Macaca fascicularis: one gene and its partners. The protein of the gene in region 5 interacts with the protein of the main gene of each other region in a pairwise test. Links are inferred from orthologs where the notes say so. Each region holds a gene or a part of one and is shown on either strand. Other genes may lie near its edges. The genes, in order: LATS1, RAB29, FOSL1, NRIP1, LDOC1, TNNT1 and BYSL.

The links.
Region 1: the proteins of LDOC1 (region 5) and LATS1 interact in a two-hybrid assay, tested with the Homo sapiens proteins (2 studies listed by BioGRID and IntAct). The two-hybrid records come from large-scale screens. The link is inferred for Macaca fascicularis from reciprocal best matches to the Homo sapiens genes LDOC1 and LATS1.
Region 2: the proteins of LDOC1 (region 5) and RAB29 interact in binary tests that used the Homo sapiens proteins (3 or more experiments, as listed by UniProt). The two-hybrid records come from large-scale screens. The link is inferred for Macaca fascicularis from reciprocal best matches to the Homo sapiens genes LDOC1 and RAB29.
Region 3: the proteins of LDOC1 (region 5) and FOSL1 interact in binary tests that used the Homo sapiens proteins (3 or more experiments, as listed by UniProt). The two-hybrid records come from large-scale screens. The link is inferred for Macaca fascicularis from reciprocal best matches to the Homo sapiens genes LDOC1 and FOSL1.
Region 4: the proteins of LDOC1 (region 5) and NRIP1 interact in binary tests that used the Homo sapiens proteins (3 or more experiments, as listed by UniProt). The two-hybrid records come from large-scale screens. The link is inferred for Macaca fascicularis from reciprocal best matches to the Homo sapiens genes LDOC1 and NRIP1.
Region 6: the proteins of LDOC1 (region 5) and TNNT1 interact in binary tests that used the Homo sapiens proteins (3 or more experiments, as listed by UniProt). The two-hybrid records come from large-scale screens. The link is inferred for Macaca fascicularis from reciprocal best matches to the Homo sapiens genes LDOC1 and TNNT1.
Region 7: the proteins of LDOC1 (region 5) and BYSL interact in binary tests that used the Homo sapiens proteins (3 or more experiments, as listed by UniProt). The two-hybrid records come from large-scale screens. The link is inferred for Macaca fascicularis from reciprocal best matches to the Homo sapiens genes LDOC1 and BYSL.

What each region holds. Positions count from the first base shown.
Region 1 is NC_088378.1:57,660,849-57,664,348, reverse strand, and holds part of LATS1 (serine/threonine-protein kinase LATS1), read left to right. Parts: intron 1-490; coding exon 491-673; intron 674-870; coding exon 871-977; intron 978-3,500. UniProt on the Homo sapiens protein: Negative regulator of YAP1 in the Hippo signaling pathway that plays a pivotal role in organ size control and tumor suppression by restricting proliferation and promoting apoptosis.
Region 2 is NC_088375.1:63,614,038-63,618,280, forward strand, and holds the start of RAB29 (ras-related protein Rab-7L1), read right to left. Parts: upstream 2,801-4,243; 5' UTR 2,704-2,800; intron 2,423-2,703; exon of another isoform or gene 2,418-2,422; 5' UTR 2,299-2,417; coding exon 2,175-2,298; intron 1,879-2,174; exon of another isoform or gene 1,734-1,878; intron 1-1,733. UniProt on the Homo sapiens protein: The small GTPases Rab are key regulators in vesicle trafficking. Essential for maintaining the integrity of the endosome-trans-Golgi network structure.
Region 3 is NC_088388.1:8,507,024-8,510,523, reverse strand, and holds the end of FOSL1 (fos-related antigen 1), read right to left. Parts: intron 2,121-3,500; coding exon 2,013-2,120; intron 1,292-2,012; coding exon 881-1,291; 3' UTR 188-880; downstream 1-187.
Region 4 is NC_088377.1:32,171,500-32,175,509, reverse strand, and holds the start of NRIP1 (nuclear receptor-interacting protein 1), read right to left. Parts: upstream 2,801-4,010; 5' UTR 2,620-2,800; intron 2,112-2,619; exon of another isoform or gene 2,044-2,111; intron 1-2,043. UniProt on the Homo sapiens protein: Modulates transcriptional activation by steroid receptors such as NR3C1, NR3C2 and ESR1. Also modulates transcriptional repression by nuclear hormone receptors.
Region 5 is NC_088395.1:147,494,918-147,499,175, forward strand, and holds the start of LDOC1 (protein LDOC1), read left to right. Parts: upstream 1-1,458; 5' UTR 1,459-1,567; coding exon 1,568-2,008; 3' UTR 2,009-4,258. UniProt on the Homo sapiens protein: May have an important role in the development and/or progression of some cancers.
Region 6 is NC_088393.1:63,012,151-63,015,650, forward strand, and holds part of TNNT1 (troponin T, slow skeletal muscle), read right to left. Parts: intron 1,930-3,500; coding exon 1,866-1,929; intron 1,335-1,865; coding exon 1,218-1,334; intron 984-1,217; coding exon 906-983; intron 1-905. UniProt on the Homo sapiens protein: Troponin T is the tropomyosin-binding subunit of troponin, the thin filament regulatory complex which confers calcium-sensitivity to striated muscle actomyosin ATPase activity.
Region 7 is NC_088378.1:129,638,889-129,642,388, forward strand, and holds part of BYSL (bystin), read right to left. Parts: intron 709-3,500; coding exon 570-708; intron 207-569; coding exon 73-206; intron 1-72. UniProt on the Homo sapiens protein: Required for processing of 20S pre-rRNA precursor and biogenesis of 40S ribosomal subunits. May be required for trophinin-dependent regulation of cell adhesion during implantation of human embryos.

The DNA of each region.
Region 1 (3,500 bases), on a different chromosome or scaffold from region 5:
AGTCACATTTGTCACATCACCCTGTGTTGATTCTCTGTGTAGGGTATGTCACTGTTCCTTATATGTGTAATTGTTTGTTTTGTTTCTTTTCCTACTAGAATGTAACCAGAGCTTTGTCTTATCACTGTCATTTATTGAATGAAACACTGATCTAATTTGTTTGAAAGTTTGTCCAGAGTAGTACCAGGGAGTGGGCTAAATAACAAACTCTTAATCTCCCCATGACTCATATTGTTGTTATTTAACATTGAATAAATTGCTAAATCTTAGACTTTTTTTTTTTTTTAAGTGTAAAATCATTCCTATTGACATCTCAGAAAGCAGGCTGTAATTGGTAATAAACACCATCCGTGATTTGGCATACATTGTGTCTTAGTTTGTCACAAGGGAGAATGTTGTTAACCCTAAACCATGATGTCAGAAGATTAAATAGACTTCAGGTTTACTGTTGTCCTTGTTGATTTTATTTATTTATTCTTTTGTTGTGCAGGTGACCATCCACGGCAAGATAGCATGGATTTCAGTAATGAATGGGGGGATCCCTCAAGCTGTCGATGTGGAGACAGATTGAAGCCATTAGAGCGGAGAGCTGCACGCCAGCACCAGCGATGTTTAGCACATTCTTTGGTTGGGACTCCCAATTATATTGCACCTGAAGTATTGCTACGAACAGGTAAAGCACTTCTTTCATATAAAATCTCAGTAGGCCTTTAGGCCAGCCAAAACAACACTAGAATATGCCTTATTTTTCAGGCTTATAATAAAAGTATTAATTTTACAGTATAAATTGGTGATTTAATGTTAATTTTTATTGTATTCTGAGCATTTTTAAAGTGCTTCTAAATAACTAACTTTGGTATCTTATTTTAGGATACACACAGTTGTGTGATTGGTGGAGTGTTGGTGTTATTCTTTTTGAAATGTTGGTGGGACAACCTCCTTTCTTGGCACAAACACCATTAGAAACACAAATGAAGGTAAGGTATGGCATCTATATCAAAAGAATTCTCACAAAGTTGCTACGTCATTGACCTTTATTTATTAGTACTTAGAGCATTTTAGTCTGGAGTTAAAGAATGAGCTTGGGCTGGGTGCAGTGGCTCATACCCATAATGCCAGTGCTTTGGGAGGTTGAGGCAGGAGGATTGCTTGCACCTAGGAGTTCAAGATCAGCCTGACAATGATGTGAGACCCCATCTCTACAAAAAAAAAAAAGTTTAATTTAAAAAAGGAAAAGAATGGCCGGGCGCGGTGGCTCACGCCTGTAATCCCAGCACTTTGGGAGGCCGAGGCGGGCGGATCACAAGGTCAGGAGATCGAGACCACGGTGAAACCCCGTCTCTACTAAAAATACAAAAAATTAGCCGGGCGCGGTTGTGGGCGCCTGTAGTCCCAGCTACTCGGGAGGCTGAGGCAGGAGAATGGCGTGAACCCGGGAGGCGGAGCTTGCAGTGAGCCGAGATCGCGCCACTGCACTCCAGCCTGGGCGACAGAGCGAGACTCCGTCTCAAAAAAAAAAAAAAAAAAAAGGAAAAGAATGAACTTGTAAGGGTATATGAACTCACTAAAATTGCATGTGTGAACTCCAGTCTCCATGATGCCATATCCCCATAATTTTGTATCCCCCCTCACTCATACACCATACTCATATATCATTCTCAAAAAGGTCTTTAGGCCAGGCACGGTGACTCATGCCTGTAATCCTACCACTTTGGGAGGTGTAGGCGGGTGGATCACCTGAGGTCAGGAGTTTGGGATCAGCCTGGCCAACATGGCAAAACCCTGTCTCTACTAAAAATACAAAAATTAGCTGGGTGTGGTGGCGGACACCTGTAATCCCAGCTACTTGGGAGGCTGAGGCAGGAGAATCCTTTGAATTCCGAAGGCAGAGGTTGCAGTGAGCCAAGATCTCACCATTGCACTCCACCCTGGGCGAAAGAGCGAAACTCCTTCTCAAACAAAACAAAACAAAACAAGCCTTTAGTCCATTTTGAAGATTTGTTCACTGCTTGTCACCTACTGCCTCCTGGCTTTGTCTCCTTCTATGCAAACTACAAACAAATGTTTATATCCCCATTTGAAAATACCTCTGGCACTTAAATGAGAAGCTACCCACAATTTTGACCATACACTGTCTGATTTAATACCCTTTGGTGATTCCTTTGTCCATGGGTTAAAGTTGGAATTTGCCCTCCGTTCATACCATTCCCTCTGTCTGGAATGTCCTACTTCCATCTCTCTCTTCTATAACCCTTCCTCCTTTCTGAAGTCTAATTAACTCCTGGTCGTTCTCTCTCTCTCTCTCTCTCTCTTTTTTTTTTTTTATACAGAGTCTTGCTCTATCATCAGGCTAGAGTGCAGTGGCGTGATCTCAGCTCACTGCAACTTCTGCCTCCTGGGTTCAAGTGAGTCTCGTGCCTCAGCTTCCCGAGTAGCTGGGATTACAGGCACGCGCCATCACACCCAGCTAGTTTTTGTATTTTTAGTAGAGACGGGGTTTCACCATGTTGGCCAGGATGGTCTCAATCTCCTGAACTCATGATCCACCCACCTCGGCCTCCCAATGAGCCACTGCACTCCGCCTCCTGATCATTCTTAATTATTCTTTGAGGGCCAGACATGATGGCTCATGTCTGTAATCCCAGCACTTTATTTTGAGATAGGATCAAAACATTTCACCAAGGGTGGAATGCAGTGGCATGATGTTGTCTCATGCAACCTCTGTCCTGGCTCAAGCAACCTATCTTAGCCTCCTGGTAGATGGGACCACAGGTTCTTTTTTTAAAATTTTTTGTATATTTTTTTTTTTTTGTAGATACAGGGTTTTGCCATGTTGCCCAGGCTGGTCTCAAACTCCTGGGCTCAAGTAATCCACCCACCTCAGCCTCCCAAAGTGCTGGAATGGGTGCAGTGGCTCACACCTGTAATCCCAGCACTTTGCAAGGTCGCAGCAGACAGATCACCAACAAATGGTATTGAGAAAACTGGTCAGCCATATACAAAAAAAATGAACATCAGGTCAGGTGCAGTGGCTCACGCCTATAATCCTAGCACTTTGGGAGGCCGAGGCGGATGGATAACCTGAGGTTAGGGGTTTGAGACCAGCCTAGTCAACGTGGTGAAACCCCGTCTCTACTAAAACTACAAAAATTAGCCAAGTGTGGTTGGTGCATGCCTGTAATCCTGGGTCCTTGGGAGCCTGAGGCAGGAGAATCACTTGAACCCAGGAGGCAGAGCTTGCATTGAGCCAAGATCGTGCCACTGCACTCCAGCCTGGGACGACAGAGCAAGACTCTGTCTCAAAAAAAAAAAAAAAAAACTGAGCCTCACACCTTTACAAAGATTAACTCAAATTGAGTCACATATATAGATAAAACTTAAAGGTATAATACTTTTAGAAGAAAACATAGGAGAAAATCTTTGTGGGCTTGGGTTAGGTAAAGAGTTCGTAGAAATGACCCCAGAATCATGACCCATAAAAGAAAAAAGTTCATCAAAAC
Region 2 (4,243 bases), on a different chromosome or scaffold from region 5:
AAATCAAATAGGCAGTGACAACCCGATGGACACACAACTCGAATCCCATGTTTATCTTTAAGCCCTCAATTCACTGAGATGAGTCCACACATGTGTATTAAGTGTGAGATGGATGGTTCATACTCACTCTCCAAAGGGGTTTCCAGCTTTTACTCTCCTGTCAAGCTCATCTGTTTGCTACTACTTGTCTCCAAGACTGGGGGTGGGAGTAACTATGAAAACAACTCTCATTCTCAGGTTAAACAGTTTCTGGGAGATTTAGGGGGTTTTCTCAGGGAAGGGGTGATGGGGGAGAAGGGGGAAATGAGACAAGTGTGGTTGTTTCTGTATCTTCCACATTCAATTTCACTGCTGGTTTCTAATCAAATTGTATTATGAAAACAACACACCCTGGGGAACTCTACATCCACCATAAGGTTGCAGGTATTATCTTGGGCAAGAATGGAATAAACGGAAAAGGTCCCAGAGGAGTCCCAAGAAGACACTGTGTGGATGTTGCTGAAGAGTCCTGCTGGAATCTACCACAAAGTCTGCAGATGCTGAGACTCCTTAAGGCTAAGTATTCCATGGGGAAAAGCTTTTGGCTAAGGAGAGAAACACAGTAATTTCTGAGGTTTGGAAATATTATCTTTCACATCTGTAACAGGAATCAAAACTAAGGGAAATTTAGACTAAACACTGAAAAAAAAAATTAGCCAGAGTCAATTATATTCTTTGTTAAAGGAAAACTACAGCAATTGTTAAAAATTAACTATTAATAGAAGGCCAATTTTAACCCAAATCCGTGAAATAGGGACCCTTATATTATTTAGGAGTGGAAGGGCAGAGAGGTCAGGATAGTGTGTCTGAAACTTTGAACCTTTAATTTTGCCAGACTTTAATGTTTTGTTCCTTTGTTTTTGAGACAGGGTCTCACTCTGTTGCCCAGGCTACAGTGCAGTGAGTGGTGCGAACGCGGCTTACTGAAGCTTCGACCTCCTGAGTTCAAGCAATCCTCTAGTCTGAGTTTCCGGAGTAGCTGGAACCACGGCTACTTTTTTCTTTAATTTTTGTAGAGGTGGGGTCTTGCCATGTTTCCAATGGCTGCTCTCGAACTCCTGGGCTCAAGCAATCCTCCTGCCTCAGCCTCCTAAAGTGCTGGGATTGCAAGTATGAACCACTGCACTGGGCCCTACTGGGGGTTCTTAAGGAGAATGTTTTAATTGCAATGTGAATGCTTAATTTCTTTTTAAACTTCCATATGAACAGGAGCACACATTTTCACTTTTTCCATTGGTACGTTTTTCTCCCCTTAAAACAAGTTCTTTTAAGAGAGAAAATTTTAAGTTACTCTCCCCCATCACCAGCTCTTCCTAAATACCTTCTAATTAACAATAAGGCATTTCTACCTCTGAAAAAATAGTTGAGTAAAAAGGCCATACCCGGGAAAGAAAGGAATGAACTCAGTGTTCTCTTCCTCCCTACCTTCTTCAGTTTGAGGAAAAAGTGGTGGGAAGATAGGTCAGAGAAGTGGTATATTTCACATTCTTCGAAGAATTCCTTGGTTACTTTTATTTAAGCAATCAACGGACAAAAACACAGCTCATCAGCCCTCATGGGCATCTGACTGCGTAGCCAAGGGGCTCGTTTGGGGATTTTGTGTCTTCCATCCCACCCACAGCCCCACAACAAAGCTAGAGTCCTTCAGACCAGTTCCGCTTCCTGCGTTCTCCCACTGAAGCCAGGTTAAACACCTTGCGGTTCCTTCCTCAACAGAGGTGCAGAACTACAGCCCCAGCCGGCACCTAACCAGGAGGCCCCCAGAGGATCTCAGCTGCTTCTGCTGATTGGAGAGATGCCAGACAGCTGAAAGGCTGGAGACTTGAGTTCACAGTGCGCCTGCAATAAACAGCAATTGCTTATCCTCATCCTCCCTTCCCTATTTCTCATCTTCAAGCCTTTGTTCTTACCTTTCTCCTGGCAGTGGGGTCAGGTTGGGAAAAATCTAACTGGGGAAACTCAAGAGAGGCTTGTAAACGAAACACCCGGCAATTACACCATTTAGGTTCCCAGACAGTACTTCCTGACCCGAAGAAGGACCCAACAACCGACAGCAAATCCGGATCCCACTTGGGTCCCCAGCTCGAGTCCGCGGTCGAGGCCTCCTCCTCCCCCTCCCCCGAAAGACGTCTCACCTCCCACCGTGGACTTGTAGTGTTTGCTGAAGCTGTCCTGGGAATATCGCTGCACCAGCGACGTCTTGCCCACTGCGGCGTCCCCCACCACCAGAACTTTGAACAGGTGGTCGCGGCTGCCCATGGCTAGCGGGGCGTGCGTTTTAGGGAGGCGGGAAGTGGGGGAGTCGCTTGTTTTAACCCCTTTGGCTCCGGACCCTCTTCAAACTGAAGTGAGGCATTCCCACCCACCGCCTGTGTGGGCTGCTCTGACGAGAAAGCAAAAAAGGAAACTTTGCACTCAAACTATACGTGCTTCCTCCCCCGGCGGCCGCAACCTGGGTGGGGCGCAGGGCGCAAGCTCCGAGCCCCCGGCTGTTCGCACCTTCCCCACCCCCTCCTGGCCTGACTGCCGAGAAACGGGACCAGGCGCCTCGGAACCTCCCCACCAGGACTTTCCCGGAGCGGCTCCGAGTCAGTGACTGAATCCCAGTCAGCTCATTACACCACTGGGGCCAGATGATGAGGACCCTCCCCTTGCAGCACATACCAAATTGTCAGGAAGGAGCAGCCGGTACCTTTCTATTCCCTAGACGTCGTCCCGCGCCTCTCTCTAGCCTTCCTCCGCCAGCGTCACGTGCAGGGTTGCCTGGAGCACTACATTCCCCAGCTTTCCTCGCGGTAAAGAGAACCAGCCGAGTGCGGAGGCTCACCCGCGAAGCCTCCTGGGAAATGTAGTGTATTCTTTTTTTCGTTTTAAGCCAACCTACACAAAGTTTCAAGGCTTCAAAACTCCTTCAACAGTTCGGAATCTTATTCTGAAACAATTCTGGGTCAGTTAAGGTCACTTAAGAGGAGATTTGTGCAACGTGATCTCACTGGCCTGAATCCATCCCCAGATAGTCTTCTCCTGTCTTTAAAGGTTTAACGGAGTTAAGATTAAAACTTATTTCGTTAGTAAAAGTCCAAGCCTCATCCATAATGCTCCAAGTGAAGTCCATTTCCTATTCCTTCAAATAGATAGACAAGCCCAGGACTTTGTGAAATGACTCATATTTTCTGTATGAACTTGCCCAATACCAGGCAAGTTCAGGAAAACTTGACCCAAGAGACCATTCTTTGGAAAAACATATGCCAAAAGTTACAGCATTTAATATCCAGCAATAACAATAAAGATAGACAGAAAACAAGAGACAGTTCCCCATTCATACTTCTGCAATGCCTATTCTAACCATACTACTCATGTATCACTTGAGGTAGAGGCTAATTGAAATACACTGGGAATCCTTCTCGATTCATTGTGGCTGTTGTTAATAGATAATCATAAAACTAGTGTTTGGCAAATAATTTTAATTTTTCAGCCTGAAACTTTACTGACCTGCCTGTCACTTAGGTAGGAGTTGGCAGGACATGAGCTCAATGGCAAGCAAAGAGAGCTCCATTTTCTAGACTTTTTCTAGAAACAGAAGAAGAGAACCAGCAGGGCCATGGGAAAACAGCCCAGGACCAGACACTATGAAATCTTACCTAGGTCTCTTGATAGAGAGGCTATCACTTATGTTTTGTGGGGAAAGAACATCAGCGTGGTTCACAATATATTTTGCCCAGAATGTTTGTTACTCAGGTACAGGAGGTTAGGCCAGGCTACTCATCTTTAAGGATCCAATTTTCTCTGTTCCTATTCGTTTTGACATATTTGACCACTCCTTGACATTTGTTTCCCTTATGCCTTCTATGACACTGCTCTTTCTTTGTCATCCCCCTACTTCTCCGATGATTATCCTTTTCTTTCAGGTTTCTCGCCATCCCATTTCCCTCTAAGTATTTCCTGAAGCTCTATTCTTGGTCTTTGAGTCAATGATTCTATAAACTCTTCAATGAATTGTCCTTGGTGTCAAAGATCTGTCTTCACTTTATTGTTCTTTATCTCTGATCAGTGATACTCAGCTGCCCAAAAGGTGCCTCCACTTGGATGTCCTGCCACATCCTTCCTCTTACTACATTGCCACAAAAATAGCTCCTTTTCTCAGCTTCCCTATTTCTGTCACTGGTCTCATTATTTCTTCCCTCCATGTAGACTTCAGATTCTG
Region 3 (3,500 bases), on a different chromosome or scaffold from region 5:
AGGGACGGTAAGCCTCTTCGCTTTTACCCCAGAGGACTCTCTCCTCTCATTCCTGGAGATGAGGCCGAGCGGATGTAGCCCCACTTGTCAGATAAGACAAAGTCCAAAAATATCAAATAATTTGTCCAAGGTCATGCAGTGAGTCTGTAGAGCTAAGGCTGGGACTTACGACTCAAATACTCTCCCATTGGCTTTGGGGTCCGGTGAGGCGCTCAGGCCACAGCTTCAAGCCTTTTATTCCATTTTGGTAGGTTTGTATAAAAATACTCTCTTTAGGAAAATAAATAGCAGCTGCCCTCGCTGTGGAGGCTTGGATTCCCTGGAGCTGAAGGCTTCTCAAAGCTGAGATCGGCAGATCTGCTCATCACAGAAGCCGTGGGCACCTCCTGAGTTGTGCGGTTCAGGAGGGGGCGGCAGAATGGCCTGGTCCAATCACCTGCTGCTGCTGGCAGTGGGGCTGGTGAGTTAGTGTTCTAGGTGGGCAAAGTGGCACCTTCTGTCAGGGGGTAGGATTGGGTGGATCACAGGAAGAGGGTGATGGATAGTGTGGCAGTGACCTGGAAGGGGTTAGGGCTCCAGAGGACCTCTAAGGATCTACAAAGTCTCTGGGCTCCCGGGAATTCTCTGGCACAAATGGGGAATATTTTGTATCTGATTTAGTGCAAATTGTGCTAGAGAGGCCAGCTCTAGAGAAACAGTGGGCAGCTTTGGTGGCCCCAAGCTGGCTCTACTGTGAAGCACAATATGGTCAGTCTCATTAGAGGGATGGAGAAGCTGCTGGAGTTGGATGTGGGATACTGTCCAGGCCAGCTGGACCGGTGGGGGAAGGGGAGGAGACGTTGGTTAGGGTGGCACCTGCAGGGTGTAGGGCTCGGGTGCCTCACAAAGCAAGGAGGGTTGGAGAGCCGAGGGGGTCAGAGGATGGGTCTCCGCTGCTGCTGCTACTCTTGCGATGAGCTGAGGCACAGGGCTCAGGAGTGCTGGGGTAGGTGAAGACTAGGCTGGGGGTGAAAGGAGTTAGGGAGGGTGTGGTCATGAGCGTGGGGGTGTGCAGTGCCTCAGGTTCAAGCACAGGCCCTGGGGAAAGGGAGATACAAGGTACAGGGCGGCAGGGGGCTGGCGGGCTGCTCGTGCCACTGGTACTGCCTGTGTCCCCCTCCTTGGCTCCTTCGGGGATTTTGCAGATGGGTCGGTGGGCTTCCAGCACCAGCTCCAGGCGCTCCTTCTGCTTCTGCAGCTCCTCAATCTCTCGCTGCAGCCCAGATTTCTCATCTTCCAGTTTGTCAGTCTCCTGTAGAAGATCAGGAGAGGAGTCAGGAAGGTGAGGGCTGAATATCCTGGAGCCTCAGATGTTTGGACTCAGGGTTCTGAGGAGCTGGGGTTGGGTGGGGAGAGAGGGGGGGCAGTGGAGAGTCTCCAGCAAGTCTGGACTGCAATTCCCATGAGCCCCTGGGAGAAAATGGGCACGACTCCCATCAGGCCCAGGCGTTTTAGGAGATTGCTGGCACCGGGCGGTGACTCAGGCCTGTAATCCCAGCACTTTGGGAGGCTGAGGCGGGTGGATCACTTGAGGTCAGGAGTTTGAGACCAGCCTGGCCAACATGGCGAAACCCTGTCTCTACTAAAAATATAAAAATTAGCCGGGTAGGGTGGCAGGTCCCTGTAGTCCCAGTACTCAGGAGGCTGAGGCATGAGAATTGCTTGAGCCTGGGAGACAAATGTCACAGTAAGCCATGAGCCGAGATCTCGCCACTGCACTCCAGCCTGGGTGACAGAGCAAGACTCTGTCTCAAAAAAAAACAAGGAGATTGCTGGCTGAGCCTCAGCTCTGCTCTGCCTCCAGTGAGACATGCTGCAGCCAGTTTTTAATCAATTTTTCCTCATCATTTGCCCAGGACTGCCCCTCGGACAAGGAGCTAGGATGGTGGGGAAGGGGCTACATATACTGGGGCTTTGGGGGCTCCTGGGAGACAGGGTCCCTCAGAGTTCGGTGGACCAGGGCTGGTGCTCACCGCCTGCAGGAAGTCGGTCAGTTCCTTCCTCCGGTTCCTGCACTTGGCCGCAGCCAGCTTGTTCCGCTCGCGCCTTACTCGTCGGCGCTCCTCTTCCTCAGGGCTGATCTGGGGGTGAGACTGGCAGTGAGGAGGACCCTGGGCCATTGGTTGCCTGGAACTCGCCCCTCACGGTGGCCCAGTGGTAGGACCCTGAGAGAGGTCATGGCAGGGCCCCCTCAGCTAGTGATTTAGGGATCACTGCACCCAACCAGTTCTCTGCACTGAGGCACTGTCTGCTTGGATTGGTAAAATTTCCTCCTCGCACCTAGCTTTAGTGCACATTCCTCTCCCATAATGCCCTCCCCTTCCACAAACCCTAACCCTCCTTATCTCTCAGGACTCAACTAAGATGTTCCTGCCTCCAGGAAGCCCTCTTATTCCCCAGCCAGAAGTGACCTTTCCCCCTCAGCGCCCTCTTTGCAGGACCCTCATCCTTTTGGATCTCTGGACAACCAAGTCTCCTCTTCCAAGAGCTGTAAGCACTAGGAGGGGATAATGAGTGCTGCTGATTAAGTTGCAATGTGTTGGAAACCTACTATGTGCCAGCCAAGTACTTTATATAGATTCTTGTTTTTTCACTGAGAATATGCAAAGATTTTTTTTTTTTTTTTTTTTGAGACGGAGTCTCGCTCTGTCCCCCAGGCTGGAGTGCAGTGGCGCGATCTCAGCTCACTGCAAGCTCCGCCTCCCGGGTTCACACCATTCTCCTGCCTCAGCCTCCCAAGTAGCTGGGACTACAGGTACCCACCACCTCACTTGGCTAATTTTTTGTATATTTAGTAGAGATGGGGTTTCACCATGTTAGCCAGGATGGTCTCTATCTCCTGACTACGTGATCCGCTCACCTCGGCCTCCCAAAGTGCTGGGATTACAGTCGTAAGCCACCACGCCCGGCCTTTTTTTTTTTTTTTTTGAAACGGAGTCTGGCTCTGTCGCCCAGGCTGGAGGGCGGTGGCCTGATCTTGGCTCACTGCAAGCTCCGCCTCCCGGGTTCACGCCATTCTCCTGCCTCAGCCTCCTGAGTAGCTGGGACTACAGGTGCCTGCCACCACACTCAACTAATTTTTTGTATTTTTAGTAGAGATGGGGTTTCACCGTGTTAGCCAAGATGGTCTCGATCACCTGACCTCATGATCTGCCCACCTCGGCCTCCCAAAGTGCTGGGATTACAGGCATGAGCCACCGTGCCCGGCCTTTTTTTTTTTTTAGACAGAGTCTCACTCTTTCCCAAGCTGGAATGCATTGGCCTGATCTCGACTCACTGCAACCTCCATCTACTGGATTCGAGTGATTCTCATGCCTCAGCCTCCCAAGTAGCTGGGATTACAGGCATATACCACCACACCTGGCTAATTTTTGTATTTTTAGTAGAGATGAGGTTTCGCCATGTTGGCCAGGCTGGTCTTGAACTCCTAACCTCAGGTGATCCACCCTCCTCAGCCTCCC
Region 4 (4,010 bases), on a different chromosome or scaffold from region 5:
ACTAATTGATTCTCCTTCTTTGTCTCTAGGAACTATGCCCAGGCAGAAAAAAAGTTACTATAGGCGATGAAGCCAGCGCTCCCCTGAACCAAATAAACCCTATCGACATTACCAAACTGCTGGGCAAAAGCAGAGCAATTCACTTACTTCGAAGGTGAAAACATTTCAACATACACCAGGCGGCAACCGACACTTACGGGCTAAGCAGATGAAACACCATTTGTTTAAAAAGTCTATTATCTCACTATCTCTTCCACAAAGGTGGAAAACTGATGATTAAACATTGAATAATGCCACCCACTTACTAAACCTATGATTCACTAATAAGCATTCAATGCAATTCATAACTTTAAAGAATGAATTACCGAAGCCCCTTGCTTCACAAATTTTCCCAAGAAACAGAAAGAGCATTGATCACCTATAATCCGACAACCATTTTTTACTACGGACACCTACAGATGGCTTCTCTTCCTCTAACGACACAATTTCCTTCACAATCCCACATGTAATCATTTACAATACCAGAGACAAACTCCACCTCAGTTCCACCGGCCGAGTTTTTAAAAATCCTTGTGCCTAAGAACGTCTTCTTTCCCCCAAAGTAAAATGTGCCATTAAAAAATATTTTTAAAAAGCAAAAGTGCTTATCATTCCGTACTTCTTTTACTACCTTCAGCAGCCAATTACTGACGTGATAAAAGGTAGAAACTCCTGGAATGCTTCAGAGATCAACATGTGTCACAGACTCCCAGCCTGTCCGCCTCTAAGACACAGTTGGTTCCTTTGTTCCTTCAGACTGAACACCAACTCCTGATTAAAATTGGGAAACTACTTTGGAAGGGATGTGAGGGTCTGCAGAATACGTCCACGAAAACCTTCATAAAACAATATGCAATAGTAGTAAGGTGGGGACAGCAGAAGGGAGAAAGGGCAGCCTCCCGGACTTCCACGGGGCTCACCCTAAATGGGGGCCGGCCCCTGGCTCCTGGTAAAATGATGGCTGAGGCCTCGGGTCCGTGAGCCACGCCATCCGGGGGGGACGGCGAGTGCGGGCAGAGCGGGCCTGGGGTCCGTTGGGGGCCGGGCGAGCTGTCCGTTTTCCTATTCACTTTCCCAGCCGGGTATCCAGCAAGCACGGAGCAGGCAGGCACCCAGGCGAAAGGCGCCGCCCAGGATCCGGCTGGACAGCAGGATCGAGAGCGGCGCAGCGAGCGGTGCCCGAGGTTCGCGACCAAGAGGGCAGGCGAGCGAGGGGCAACCCCGACCCGGCCCCCGAGCTCCAGTGTCCGACCCCGCGCAGGGGCCACGCGACGGCCGCCCCCTTGCCCAGAACTGGCACGGACGGGCGGGCCGACCCGGGGCCACTCCACAACTTGCCGGCCCGCCGCCCCGGCCCCCCGCGAGAACCCGGGGAGACTCGAACCAGGCAGCAGAGGCAGGATTTCCCCGGAAACGCGCCCTCCACGCCGCCCCGTGCGCGCCCGCGGCCGGCCGCGCTGCCCCCGCCGCCCCGACGCCCCCGCGGCCCTGCCCGCCAAGCCAGCGCCGACGCGGGCCGCGCTCCGGGGCCGTTTCCGGCGGCGCCGGCGGCCGCTACTCTGGGCGCCCTGGCCGCGGCCGTCACTCACCCCAGGCCGCCGCGGCTCCCAGCCTCCGGCTCCGTCAGGCTCGGTCCGCGAAGGCGCCTGCCGCCCCGTCCTGGCCCGGCACCCCGGCGAGCTCTTCCCTCCGACCAGCGGCGCTCCCGGCGCAGCGGCGGACGCGAGGCCACGGGCGGACGGGCGCGCGCGGGTGGCGGGCGGGCGTGGGGCCGGATCGTCCCTGCGCCTCGCCGCCGCCTCCTCCGCCGCCGCCTCCCGAGTTCGGGGCTCTGCTGCAATGTCTGCGAGGCTGACTTTGAGCGCCTCGCTCGCCGCCCGCCCGCCCGCAGCCGCGCTCCTCCCTCCGCCGCCGAGTCCGCCGCGGCCCAGTCCCTCCCCTCGCCGCCCCACGCCATTCAGCTCTTCAGCCAAGTTTCTTAACCCTTTTCTCCCCCTCCCTCCCATTGTCAGCCGGTCAGGAGGAAGCCGTGCGGGTCCGGGCCGCTCGCGGTAGCTGCGGAGCCCCCTATGGTTCGTGGATTTCCTCCTCGCCTGCTTTCCGGGTGGCTCAGACGGGGCTGCAGGGCCCGGAGGCAGCGAAAGGACCGCGTCCCCAAGAGAGGGGCTGCTCGGCGCGCCCTGGCCGTCCTCCGGGCTCCCAGCTCTGTCCAGCCGCCCGCGACCGCTGCAGGCGCCTGGACAGCTCCTCCTGGGAACCCGGGGAAGCGCTCTCGGGACCCAGGCCGAATGCTCCCGTTTGGGCAGAGCCTGGGGACCGGGGCACCCCAGACGCCCCAGGGTCCCCGCCTGGGTGCTGGCGCCTTAAAAGTCTACCTCCTCCCCTTCACCCCACAACACGCGCTCCCTGGGCCCCCTTTCACCCCCCACCCAATTTCTATCTCCTTGTAATCTGTGTGTCCTGCTTTAATCGTGGGGGGCGCGGGCGCGAACTCTGGGTCACTTTGACCCCACGCCCAGCACGTAGTAGGCACCCAGCCCTCATGTGGAGCGACTCCGGGAGGAAAACTAGGAAGGAGACCTGAGGAGCGCCCCGCTCAGCTCCCTGGACAGACGTAGGACCCAGGAGCAGGGTTAATCCTCGGCTGCTTTGTCACTGCGAAGTCTCCAGCGGAGTCTGTCAGCCAATCTACATCATCCCCGGGAACCAGACAAGGCAAAAGGAGCAGAGCTGCTACTTCTTCAGCAGCTCTCCTCGGTTCAGTCTCCGAATAAGAAATAACAATTACATCACGAGGCCGGGGCGGCAGCGCGGTGGAGCCTCTTGGTTTCCTGCAGCCTAATCTCGCTGAACCCGCCTCTAAATTGGGGGGGCTACAGACTGCTGAAACGAGAAAGTGGAGGGAGGAGAGAGTCATACGAAACCATAATTTCCCCTTATCCGTGTATTTGCTGTTTTAAAAATCGTATCCTCAGCGCTCCCCAAACATCTCCCTAGAACTATTAACACCCCCTCAACACCTCCCCAGATGTCAGGTTTCTTTTTGACTTGAGCATCCAGCATTTAGTAATTCGCCATGAAAAAAATTACCAGGGGAAACCAATGTTGTTGCTGAAATTGTTTTTGCTTGACACAAAAAAGCTAAAGTATAGCTTAGTCTCACCCGAAATTCTGAAATGGCATGACTGTGTTAAAACACTTATTACATAAGACAAATGAGCCGATGAGGCACTCCATTCTTACATGTAGGTTTTTATATCCTGAAGAATTTGATAGCATTTGAAAATGGAGTTGCTAATGCGCTTAAAAAACAACAACTATCCAAGTCATGAAACTGTATTCTATGCCTGTTATGTAATGGCTGTATTGTGTACTGCAAATTTCACTTAACCTTTAAAAATATGAATGAGAGTTTTAGAATACTGTCACAGTCTTGAAAGTGAAAGCAATTTTTCAAATTAATGCTTAATAAATTCAGCACCTAGCACAGTGCCGGGCACATGGTACCGATGTTTTCCTTAGTGACAATGGCACTTTTAAAAACAATTATTTTACATCACCCTACTGATTGAACTATGCAATCTGTTGCCATTTTAAAAAGTTAAACCTCATATAATACCATATTATTTGCATATACCACAATTCAAAATCTGCTGTAGGCAAATTAGTAAAGGCTGCTGTTTTTTAGTGCATCATTTATTCAGAATTGATACAAAGCAAACCGTTTCAATGATGACCAGCGTAATTGGAGCTTGGCCCCTTAGTGGGGGTCAAACTTTTTTTACGAAAATTATTTTTAACCATAATACAAAGATTTTTCTACAATGTATTGCAAATGTTTCTCTTAAGCGGTTTATTGAACATCATTTAGCATTTTCTTGACAATTCAGTGTCAATTTTATTAAAAGTAATTGTTGTAGTAGGTTGTAGTGGATTCAGGAAATATATCCAGTTCCTATTCTATATTCTTC
Region 5 (4,258 bases):
TAGGCCTTGGCTGCAACTTTGCTCTTTATTCTGAGGTGAAACTACTGGAGGATTTTGAGCAGGGGCGTGAAGGGATCTAACTGTTTTTGTTTGTTTGTTTGTTTGTTTTTGTTTTTTTTTTTTAGAGATGGAGTCTCGCTTGGTAACCAAGGCTGGAGGAGTGCGCTGGCGCTATCTCGGCTCACTGCCACCTCCGCCTCCCGGGTTCAAGCGATTCTCCTGCCTTAGCCTCCTGAGTAGCTGGAACTACAGGCACCTGCCACCACTCCCCGCTAATATTTTGTATTTTTAGTAGAGACAGGGTTTCACCCTGTTAGCCAGGATGATCTCGATCTCCTGACTCGTGATCCGCCCTCCTTGGCCACCCAAAGTGCTAGGATTACAGGCGTGAGCCACCGCGCCCGGCCCTAATTTTTGTTTTAAAGGATTCCTGTGGCTACTCTATGGAGAATATACTATAGGAAGAAAAGAGTGAAAGCTAAGTGATTAGTTGCAGCAGTCTGGGTGAGAAAGGCTGGGGATCAGGGTGGCAGTGGTAGAAATGACAAGTCATGACTGAATTGGCAATATATTTGAAAGCAGAGCCAACAATTCCTGTCGGCTCTAGGATCAGGGATCCGTTTAAAGTAGAAAAACAAAATTATTTAAAAACACAAACATCTTAACAGTTCATTTTTAAGTACAGAATAAAACCCAGTGGCCAAAGGCACTAACAGCAGGACAAGAAATAGAGAATCAAAGATATGTGGGATGCCTGCAATTGATTATTGGATGCTCATTTTGCAAAACTTCTTTATATCCTGCTACTTAGGTTTGTTTTTTTTTGTTTGTTTGTTTTAAGGGAGTATGCCGTATTATTCCCCTACTAAAGAAGTCACTGTTTAAATACTGCCTTTTTCATGAAAGGCAGGAACCCCTGAAGGTCTTCATGATCCTAAAAGGAAGTGTGAGTCCCACAGTGCAGCCAGCAGTGTCAATACTTCTCTGAGTGAGATTTAAACAAGAAAGAAAATGTGTTAATAAAACATCACGCCAAGAGAATCTAGTGGCCACAGACCCACGAAGGAACAACTGAGTTGTGAGAGTTGCCTAGGTAGAAGGGTGGCTAATCCTTTCAGTTTGAACAAATTTGCCTTCTCTGAGACCAAACTCAGCGCTCGCCAGGTCCTCTGCTAACGCAGGCCCCACAACCAGGAGCTAGGGGAGCCTACCCCAGCCTTTAACTGCCCGCCTAGAGACCTACCACAAGCCGGTGGTTCAGCGACCCAGTGCATCCTTTTCCTGGCCACGCCCTCTTTGTCTAAACCCTTCCCATCCCGGCCACGCCCCCACGCAGCCGCGGCCCCCAGTCTGGCCACGCCCCTCCCGCGCCGCGCCGGCGCACCATCCGTCCGAATGGCCTCGTGGGCGGAGCTTGCGTAGCCTCCCGGACCCCGGCGCGCACCGCCCCCCGCCCCCAGCCCCTGGCCATCGAGCGTCTCCGTGGACACGCACTTCCTGCGAGGCCTCCGTGCGCACCTTGGCCGAGCCGAACCGAGCCGAGCCCTGTCCTTCCAGGCTGTTCGCAATGGTGGATGAGCTGGTGCTGCTGCTGCACGCGCTCCTGATGCGGCACCGCGCCCTGACCATCGAGAACAGCCAGCTCATGGAACAGCTGCGGCTGCTGGTGTGCGAGAGGGCCAGCCTGCTGCGCCAGGTACGTCCGCCGAGCTGCCCGGTGCCCTTCCCCGAAACGTTTAATGGCGAGAGCTCCCGGCTCCCCGAGTTTATCGTGCAGACAGCGTCTTACATGCTCGTGAACGAGAACCGATTCTGCAACGACGCCATGAAGGTGGCATTCCTAATCAGTCTCCTCACCGGGGAAGCCGAGGAGTGGGTGGTGCCCTACATCGAGATGGATAGCCCCATCCTAGGTGATTACCGAGCCTTCCTCGATGAGATGAAACAGTGCTTTGGCTGGGATGACGACGAAGACGACGACGACGAGGACGAAGAGGATAATTACTAGGCCCTCGGGCCTCGGGGGGAGGGCCCTGCACGCCGTCACCCCCTCCCCGCAGCCCTCACCCCGCCAGGAGCCACTGCTCTCCCCCTTGCCCTCCGGTCCCCTTCCCTACCCGCGCCCGTCTGCTCTTTCTTCATTTCTCCGTAGTGCTTGTCTTTGTTCCAGGAATAGTGCTCCAGTTACCTGCTGCTGGGGTTGGGGCTGGAGCCTCACTCACTCGGAAGTGCTTGGAAGTGTCATCTACCCTGGCCATCCCGGGGATCCCTCCCCTGCTAATCTGAACTGTGTCCTGAACCCCAGCTATTGGCCAGGCCCCTGTTACAAACTGCGCAGACCACCCATAGCCCTGCTGCTGCCACCTGCCCTGCTGCCAGGCTTACATCTGCCCAGAGAACTATGCTGCCACTTCACATCCACTCACCACATCCCACCTACAGACTACCGCCTTTCGAGATCAGGACCAACCTGGAAAATGCCAGAGTTGGCTCTGCCTCTTCGGACATTGATTTGGACAGCTCACCAACCCCTGAAGAGGCCAATCATTCAGCCTGGTTAGTTTTCTACCTACTCCGAGTGTCCTCCCCTGCCATACCAGATTGCTGCAGGGGCGCGGTGTGCCTGACAGCCAAATTGTTGATATTTCTTTTTTCCTATGCACTGGTTTTACACAGCTGTCATTTTTCTTTCAAAATTGCAGCAGTCCCACAGATGTATGCATTTGGACAAATAGTACTAAAAACAAAACAAACAAGCACTCAGCCCAGCTCCTCAATACTACCTGGAAAAAGCATTGGCATTATTTTCAATAAATATCAAGCACTAAAAAACGAAATGACTGTCTTTTAATAGTTAAGTGCTATCACTGACCTCTAGAACTGTCACTGTGACTACCGTTATTCCCATGGAAATCAGGGAATACAACCAATCCTAGGAATCCCTGCTGTCAACTCCAGGCTGCTGGGGACAGCTACCTCAGGGCTTTGTCAGGGTTCTGATGCTTCCTTCACCAACGCATTTCTTAAAGCCCTGGCAAAGGGTGTGTTCTCTGGGTCCTCCAGGGTGGCATGGGTAAGGGTTGGCTGAGCAGATGGCAAAGAGGGCAGTATTAATAATTAGACCATAACAACAGGCATAAACCAGGACATATATATGTATTGCTCCTAATTCTCTGAGCTTTTGGATTCCTTAATATTGTGCCAGGGAAGTTCTGCCCCTTAATCCTTATTGCCTATATGCAGCTGTTGAGTTCAGGCTCCAGAGAGCCAACATAGTACATTGTCACTTTCAAACTCCAAATAGCCAACATGTCACTTACAGGTGCTCTAGCTAACATTAAGTCCCAGATCCTGGGCAAGTGCATCCATAAAGATATACCCTGATCTTAACAAACATTTCATCCTCCTTGGGCAGACATCCTTAGAATTTCCACTCATAGATGTGTCCCAGATTCCTCCCTATGGAAATTAGCAAGATGCTTGGTTATCTCTTAAATCAGACTTTGTACTGCTATCTGGGGGCTATGCTGAGATCTCTGGGCCTGGAGGGTTCAGAGCAGTGAAGGGGGTGGCTGCTGAGAAGAAACTGCATACCTGTGTGAGGCCATTGCCCCAGGTTAAGTCATTGAAATGTTTAATGCAGAGCAGCTTGGTTGGGGATTTGACAGGACTACCTCTTAGAAAGGTTTAGGAGGATGTGAGGGGTTCAGAGTTCTCATTTATATCTGTCCAGATGTCCTCCCTCATTGTACCATGTCTGGAGCCAACTTCACTTTATAACCTTTAATTAATTTAGATAACACATTTCCTTACTGTTTAAGGCCTTTTGAGGCAAGATATTTCATTTGTACTGGTAAACCTCAGTGTTGATTAAATGAGATATGGGGCTTCATATTAATCACCTGATAGGTGTGGATTATATGAGATCATACCCATGCAGCATTTAGAACTTTCCCTGCTACATGGTGAGCACTCAGTAAACCATGGGCTGTTACTCCTGGGCCTGGGGACAGAATTCTCAGGAAGCAAGTCTCTGGCTCTGAGCGTGGCTTTAGTAGGAAAATGTCAGCGTAAAGAGGAGCAGAGCAGGTTCAGCGATAATGGAAATGAGAGCATGATAAGACCCCATTTACTTTTTGAAGTCTTATATGAAGCAAGAAACAAAGCTGTTTACGTGGTGAACAGGCAAAGTTCAGGGTAGGAATTATATCTCACACCTAGGATAGCTGTTTCTGGAGGGTGGGGACAGGGGTGAGTA
Region 6 (3,500 bases), on a different chromosome or scaffold from region 5:
AATTGAAATAATAATTAAAAAAAAAAAAATACCCGGGCAGAGTGGCGCATGCCTGTAGTCCCAGCGATTCTGGAGGCTGAGGTGGGAAAATCGTTTGAGCCCGGGAGGTCCTAGCTGTAGTGAGCTAGGATCACGCCACTGCACGTCAGCCTGGGTGACAGAGCAAGACCCTGCCTCCAAATAAATACATAGATAATAATAATAGGTCGGGTGTGGTGGCTCATGCCTGTAATACCAGCACTTTGGGAGGCTGAGGCAGGCGGATCACCTGAGGTCGGGAGTTCGAGACCAGCCTGACCAACATGGAGAAACCCCGTCTCTACTAAAAAAACAAAATTAGCCAGGTGTGGGGGCGCAGGCCTGTAATCCCAGCTACTCAGGAGGCTGAGGCAAGAGAATTGCTTGAACCTGGGAGGCGGAGGTTGCAATGAGCCGAGATCGCGCCATTGCACTCCAGCCTGGGTGACGAGAGTGAAACTCTGTCTCAAAATAACAACAACAACAACAATAATAATAATAATAATAGGCCGGGCGCGGTGGCTCACACCTGTAATCCCAGCACTTTGGAAGGCTGAGGCAGGTGGATCACGAGGCCAGGAGATCGAGACCATCCTGGCCAACATGGTGAAACCCTGTCTCTACTAAAAATACAAAAATTAGCCGGGCGTGATGGGGAGCACCTGTAGTCCCAGCTACTCAGGAGGATGAGGCAGGAGAATTGCTTGAACCTGGGAGGCAGAGGCTGAAGTGAACTGAGATCACACCACTGCACTCCAGCCGGGGTGACAGAGCTAGACTCAGTTCCAAATAATAATAATAATAGTAATAATAATAACAACAACAACAAAATGGGCATCTGGCTGAAGAAGTAACATTTGGACTCCCAGGGCAGGGCAGGCACCCACCGCCAGCTTAGCCTGACGTTCGCGTTCCTTCTCAGTTCTGAAGCGCTGTTGCTCGGCTCTCTCCGACCGGCGCCGCTCCTGGGGAACGGAGAAGAATAAAGAGGTGCAGGGACGTACCCCCAGTCATCCCTCCCCAGAGTAGGCGAAGAGTGGAGATAAACAGGCTGGAGTGTGGCCACCGACTTGGATGAATTCCCGAAAGCCTCAGGCTCAGCTCTGTACTAGAAGGAAAACCATTATCTGCATCTCCCAAGATGCAAGGGATCCACGTGGAGAGAGGAAGACTGGGGGGCACCCGGACTCTCGGCTCACAATGCGCTCTTTCAAGGCAATCAGCTCCTCTTCCTCCTTCTTCCGCTGCTCAAAATGCACGTCGATGAGCGTCTGCAGCTCCAGCAGGTCTTTCTCCATGCGCTTGCGGTGGATGTCCTGCAGGACACACGGGGAGTCAGTCCTGGGAGACCCTGGAGAGGGCAGCGGCCTCCCAGCGCCTCCCCCATGCAGGACGGTGAACTGGACCGTTTCCCAGGTGGTGTCCAGCAGGTGGCAGCAATGCCTCGTGTTTGACACTAATCAGCTCTTGCAAAGACAGAGCTGCCCAAAGACGGGAGTGGGGAGTGGGGAGTGGGGACCTTTTCTCCCAGGCTGCAGTGAAATGGCGCGATCTCAGCTCCCCGCAGCTTCCGCCTCCCGGGTTCAATCGATTTTCCTGCCTCAGCCTCCCGAGTAGCTGGGATTACAGACGGCCCGCCACCACGCCCGGCTAATTTTTGTGTTTGTAGTAGAGACGGGCTTTCACCATATTGAGCAGGCTGGTCTCGAACTCCTGACCTCAATTTCCCAAAGTGCTGGGATTACAGGCGTGAGCCACCGCGGCCCAGCCCGGCGCCTTTTCATGATTGAAACAAAAGCCCCTTGAAGACTAGCAACTGCGCCTGGGGAGGGGTCTCTGACACTTACATCGAAGTCAACACGCTCCCCTTCGGGGATCTTTGGCGGGATCAAAGGAGGCACCACGGGGCGGCTGGGTGGACGGAAACATAGAGACCATGAGTGGCCCGACCTCCCTGAGCCACCTCCCACCTCCGGGATGCGCTGCCTGGTGAGGTAGCCGCCAGCCCCCTGAACGTGGAGGGTCCCAACTGAGGCAGGCTGTCAGTGAAACGCACAGAATCATGTTTTATGCTGATTACATGTTGAAATGATAAAAATTTATGTAACAGATTTTTAGAACTGTGCTATGAAAATTAAATTTTCCTATGTTGTTGCTGTACTTTAAAAGTATGCCTAGCAGGCCGGGCGCGGTGGCTCAAGCCTGTAATCCCAGCACTTTGGGAGGCCGAGACGGGCGGATCACGAGATCAGGAGATCGAGACCATCCTGGCTAACACAGTGAAACCCCGTCTCTACTAAAAAATACAAAAACTTAGCCCGGCGAGGTGGCAGGCGCCTGTAGTCCCAGCTACTCGGGAGGCTGAGGCAGGAGAATGGCGTGAACCCGGGAGGCGGAGCTTGCAGTGAGCTGAGATCCGGCCACTGCACTCCAGCCTGGGTGACAGAGCGAGACTCCGTCTCAAAAAAAAAAAAAAAAAAAAAAAAAAGGTATGCCTAGCAAGTTGGGATTACAGGCGCCTGCCACCACACCTGGGTAATTTTTGTATTTTTAGTAGAGATGGGGTTTCACCATGCTGGCCAGCCTGGTCTTGAACTCTCGACCTCAGGCGATCTGCCTGTCTCAGCCTCCCAATGTGCTGGGACTACAGGCGTGAGCCACCGTGCCCGGCCTTTAGTAAGAAATTGTAAGTGATGTGTGTGTCTTGCCATCTATTCTATTGGGTGGTGCTGCTCTGAGGTTCAGCCTTCAGCCTGCTCTGATTTCCTGCCACTTCCTTGGAATTCTCTTTTCTGGGTTTCTGAGACAACCAAGAGCGATTCCAGGATGAAGGGGACAGGACTTAGGGGTCGCTGGGCAAGGGGAGGGAGGAGGTGAGGACAATCCCCAGTGGTCTCTGGGCCAGGCAGCCAAGTGCACAGTGGGGCTACCATCTCCATCTTGGAAAAGTTGATGAGCTCCTTCGGGGCGTCATGTGTGGGAAGACAATACAGCTCACCATATTTTACAGGAATAAATACTGGCTTGCCTCCCACCCCCGGGGCTGTTCCATCCCTGTCTCCTGGCCCCCCACACTCCCGTGAGCTGCCAGGGAGCCTCCCTTTTCCCTTTTCTCATCATCAATGCCATTCACTCCAATGACTTCTGGTATTGTCAACTGCTGAGGACTCGCCAAGTGTCTCTGGTCCAGACTCTCTCCTAAGCCCCAGACTCAAGTTAGCAGGTATCTCCTGAACTTTTCCCACCTTCCCACACACGACGTCCTGATGGAGCTCACCATCTTCTCTGAGAAGGAGATGGCAGCCCCACTGTCCACTCTGTTCCCCAGCCCAAGAGACCCTTAGGGGTTGCCCCCATTGCTTCCCTCCCCTTGCCCCAACAATCCCCAAATCCTGTCCCTTTGCCTTGGAATCCCTGTCAGTCCATTCCCTCCCTCCATTTTTTTTTTTTTTTTTTAGATGGAGTTTCACTCTTGTCGCCCA
Region 7 (3,500 bases), on a different chromosome or scaffold from region 5:
AGGAAAGCCTGCCCGTCCCAAGCCCAGCCTACACCTATAGACCCAAGGCCTGCAAATCCCCATCTACTCTACCTGGTGGCTTGGTACATGGCGGCTGCAGTCCAGGCCTCAGGCTCTGTGACGTAGAGGATTTGTTCCCAGTTGGAGAGTGCAGGGATGATCTTAAATGCCTTAGGCAGTTTTCCACTGCGGTACTTAGATAATACCTAGGGATGAGGGAGGTAAAACAATCATTGTCATCCACATATGGCAAGCTTGCTGTGGGCTAGGAACTTGTCTGGGTGCTTTTAATATATTAACTCATTTCATCCCCACAATAACCCTTTAAGGAGGTGCCATTATTATGCTCGTTTTACAGATGACCAGTGAGAGTTCCAGTAACTGACCCAAGGTTGCCAAGTCATTTACAGGCAGAGCAGGAATCTGAAACCACACACTCTGCCTCTTAGGTCTGTTTTCTACTGCCATGACTTCTTTAGTATGAGATGCAGGCAAAAGGCAAAAGCCTGTGGCGGGAGCCCACAGCCCCCAAAGGGGTCTTCCACTGTGGCTCCCCTCTCAGCTCTTACCTCCCGGACCCCCCTGTAGACTTCTAGGACCCGGGGGTCCAGCTGGGGCATAGGGAAGCCCGACACCTCTGACATGACTGTCTCAACCTCTGTCTGCTTCTCAGTCAGCTTCTCCATGATGATGTCAGCCAAGGTGCGCCTAAGAGGGGAAGTGCCAAGGGGAGGGGAGAGAGGAAGGAAGGAGCACTGTGGTCACTGTCCAGGAAGCTCCAGATTCCCCACAGTCCCTTGTGAGCACTGACATACTGCGATCCTGCTGGGATGCGCAGCTCAGAGTTCCCTCTCTGTGCCCATTCATCCACCACAGACAGAATCACTGCAGGGTGCAAAGGAACTGAAAGTCATTCCATTTAGGACAAAGCTGGCAGTTGTATGGAGGTTATTATGAATCTCAATTCTGAAATCGGTCTGCGCAGGTTCAAATCCTGGCTTACCCACTCCCTGTATGATCTTGGGCATGTTACTTTACCTCTCTATGCCTCTGTTTCCTCATTTGTAAAATAGGGATAATAACGGTACCTACCTTAAAAGATTAATGGAAGGATTAAATAAGTTAATGTCTGTTCATTACTTGCAACGGTCAGTACACAGCAGTGTATCTATGGAAGTATTTCTAAAACTGATTATGTTCTTTTCAGCCTCCTTAAACACAGTATTGTTGGGTATATCAAACATTATCTTAATGATTCAGCATTACTATCACCTTGAGCTGTCATATAATACCAGTGCCTTCAGAGGCTGCTGAAGTGTATTTATTTATTTATTTTTGAGACAGAGTCTAGCTCTGTTGCCCAGGTTGGCATGCAGTGGTACCATCACGGCTCACTGCAGCCTCTATCTCTCTGGCTCAAGCGATCTTCCTGCCTCAGTCTCTCAAGTAGCTGGGACCACAGGCACATAGCACAAGGCCCAGCTAGTATTTTATTCTTTTTTTTTTTTTTTTTTGAGACGGAGTCTCGCTGTGTCGCCCAGGCTGGAGTGCAGTGGCCGGATCTCAGCTCACTGCAAGCTCTGCCTCCCGGGTTTTTATGCCATTCTCCTGCCTCAGCCTCCAGAGTAGCCGGGACTACAGGCGCCCGCCACCTCGCCCGGCTAGTTTTTTTTTTTTGTATTTTTTAGTAGAGACGGGGTTTCACCGGGTTAGCCAGGATGGTCTCGAACTCCTGACCTCGTGATCCGCCCGTCTCGGCCTCCCAAAGTGCTGGGATTACAGGCTTGAGCCACCGCGCCCGGCCGTATTTTATTCTTTTGTAGAGATGGGGTCTCCCCATGTTGCCCAGGCTGGTCTCACACTCCTGGGCTCCTGCCTTGGGATCCCAAAGTGCTGAGATTACAGGTCTGGGCCACCATGCCCAGACTGACATGTATTTAAAGCTCCTCAGTTGGGTGCAGTGGCTCGTGTTTGTAATCTCTGTACTTTGTGAGGCTGAGGGAGGTGAATCACGTGAGGTCAGGAGTTTGAGACCAGCCTGGCCAACATGGTGAAACCCCGTCTCTACTAATAAAACAAAAAGTAGCCAGGCGTGGTGGTGTGCGCCTGTAATCCCAGCTACTCGAGAGGTTGAGGTTGCAGTGAGCTGAGATCACACCACTGCCCTCCAGTGTGGGTTACAGAGTGAGACCCTGTCACAAAACAAAACAAAAAACAAACTGCTCCTCTTTTCTGAGGTCCTACTCAACGCCAGGCACTGAGTCTGGGACTTTTCAGTCCCAGAGTCAGTGCAACACTTATAGGACATGGAAACTTACGCAGACATGGCAACTGGGCCTCACAGCCGTCAGGTGGGGTTAAGAGTCAAACTCAGGTTTTTGAAAGTCTTAAGTTAAGATGCTTTATAGTACCTTATAATGTGCCCCCAAACTAAATGGCCTCTGTTGAATTCATGTGGATCTAGGCTTGCTTTCTGAAGACGCCAGCTATCATTTCTTACAACTGCCAGAAGTTCTGATTACTTCAAGGAGCTTGTCTATTCTATTTACTGCAAGCTGGAAAAGCATTCTGCTAAATTTGTCAGCGTTATCAGTGAAGTAGGAGTTATGAGGTGCTGAATGAGAACCTGAGAGGCTCTCTGGTGGGACAGGCCCGAGTACGTATTTTGTGACACATATTTCAACTGTTAGGCATCAATCTGGGAGAGGAGCTCATTTTTATTTCTTCATTCTGCATTTTCAAATAAGTTGCCACAGAATTTATCAGCCTCCTTGTGCTTTTACAGTACAATTAGCAATGAGAGATGCATTAACCCCAAACAATCTAAAGTATCAGGGACACCATTATGTTAGTATCACAGGGTCAGAATGAACTGGTTGAGGACCCTTATCCTAGACTCCACTCCCCACGGCCAAAATTTATGGGCTCAGGAGTTTGACCACAGGCAGTCTAAATGCCTGCATGTTTTGGAGCCAGCATTTATTATAGATGGGAATAAATTAGTGGTCCTAACTGGGAGCAGTTTTGCCTCCCAGAGGACATTTAGCAACGTCTGATGTCATTTTTGGTTTTCATAATTAGAGGGAAGGTTGCTACTGGAGCCTAGAAGGTAGAGATCAGAGATATCTACTAAACATCCTACACTGCACAGGATAGCCTCCACACACATATAAAATTACCCAGCCCAAAATGTCAATAATGCTGAGGTTGAAAAACCCTGGCTTAAATGAAGCTTAGGATATGAACACTTGTCCAAGGAAGTTGAGCTTACCACTAAAAAAACCAAGAATACCAAAACCAGATGCAATAGGATGGCTCTCCCCAGAGGTGTAAAACGGGCCTGGAGCTGTTTCCCTGGCAACTGGGCAGTTGTACAATAAATGGACAGAAGGATACAATGTTTTCTGAGGCTGGGTCATTCCCACTCACAGTGGTCTGCTGAGGATGGGCCAGTTTTGTCAAGGTGGTCCCCTACAACTAGCAACTCCAGGGCCCTTTCC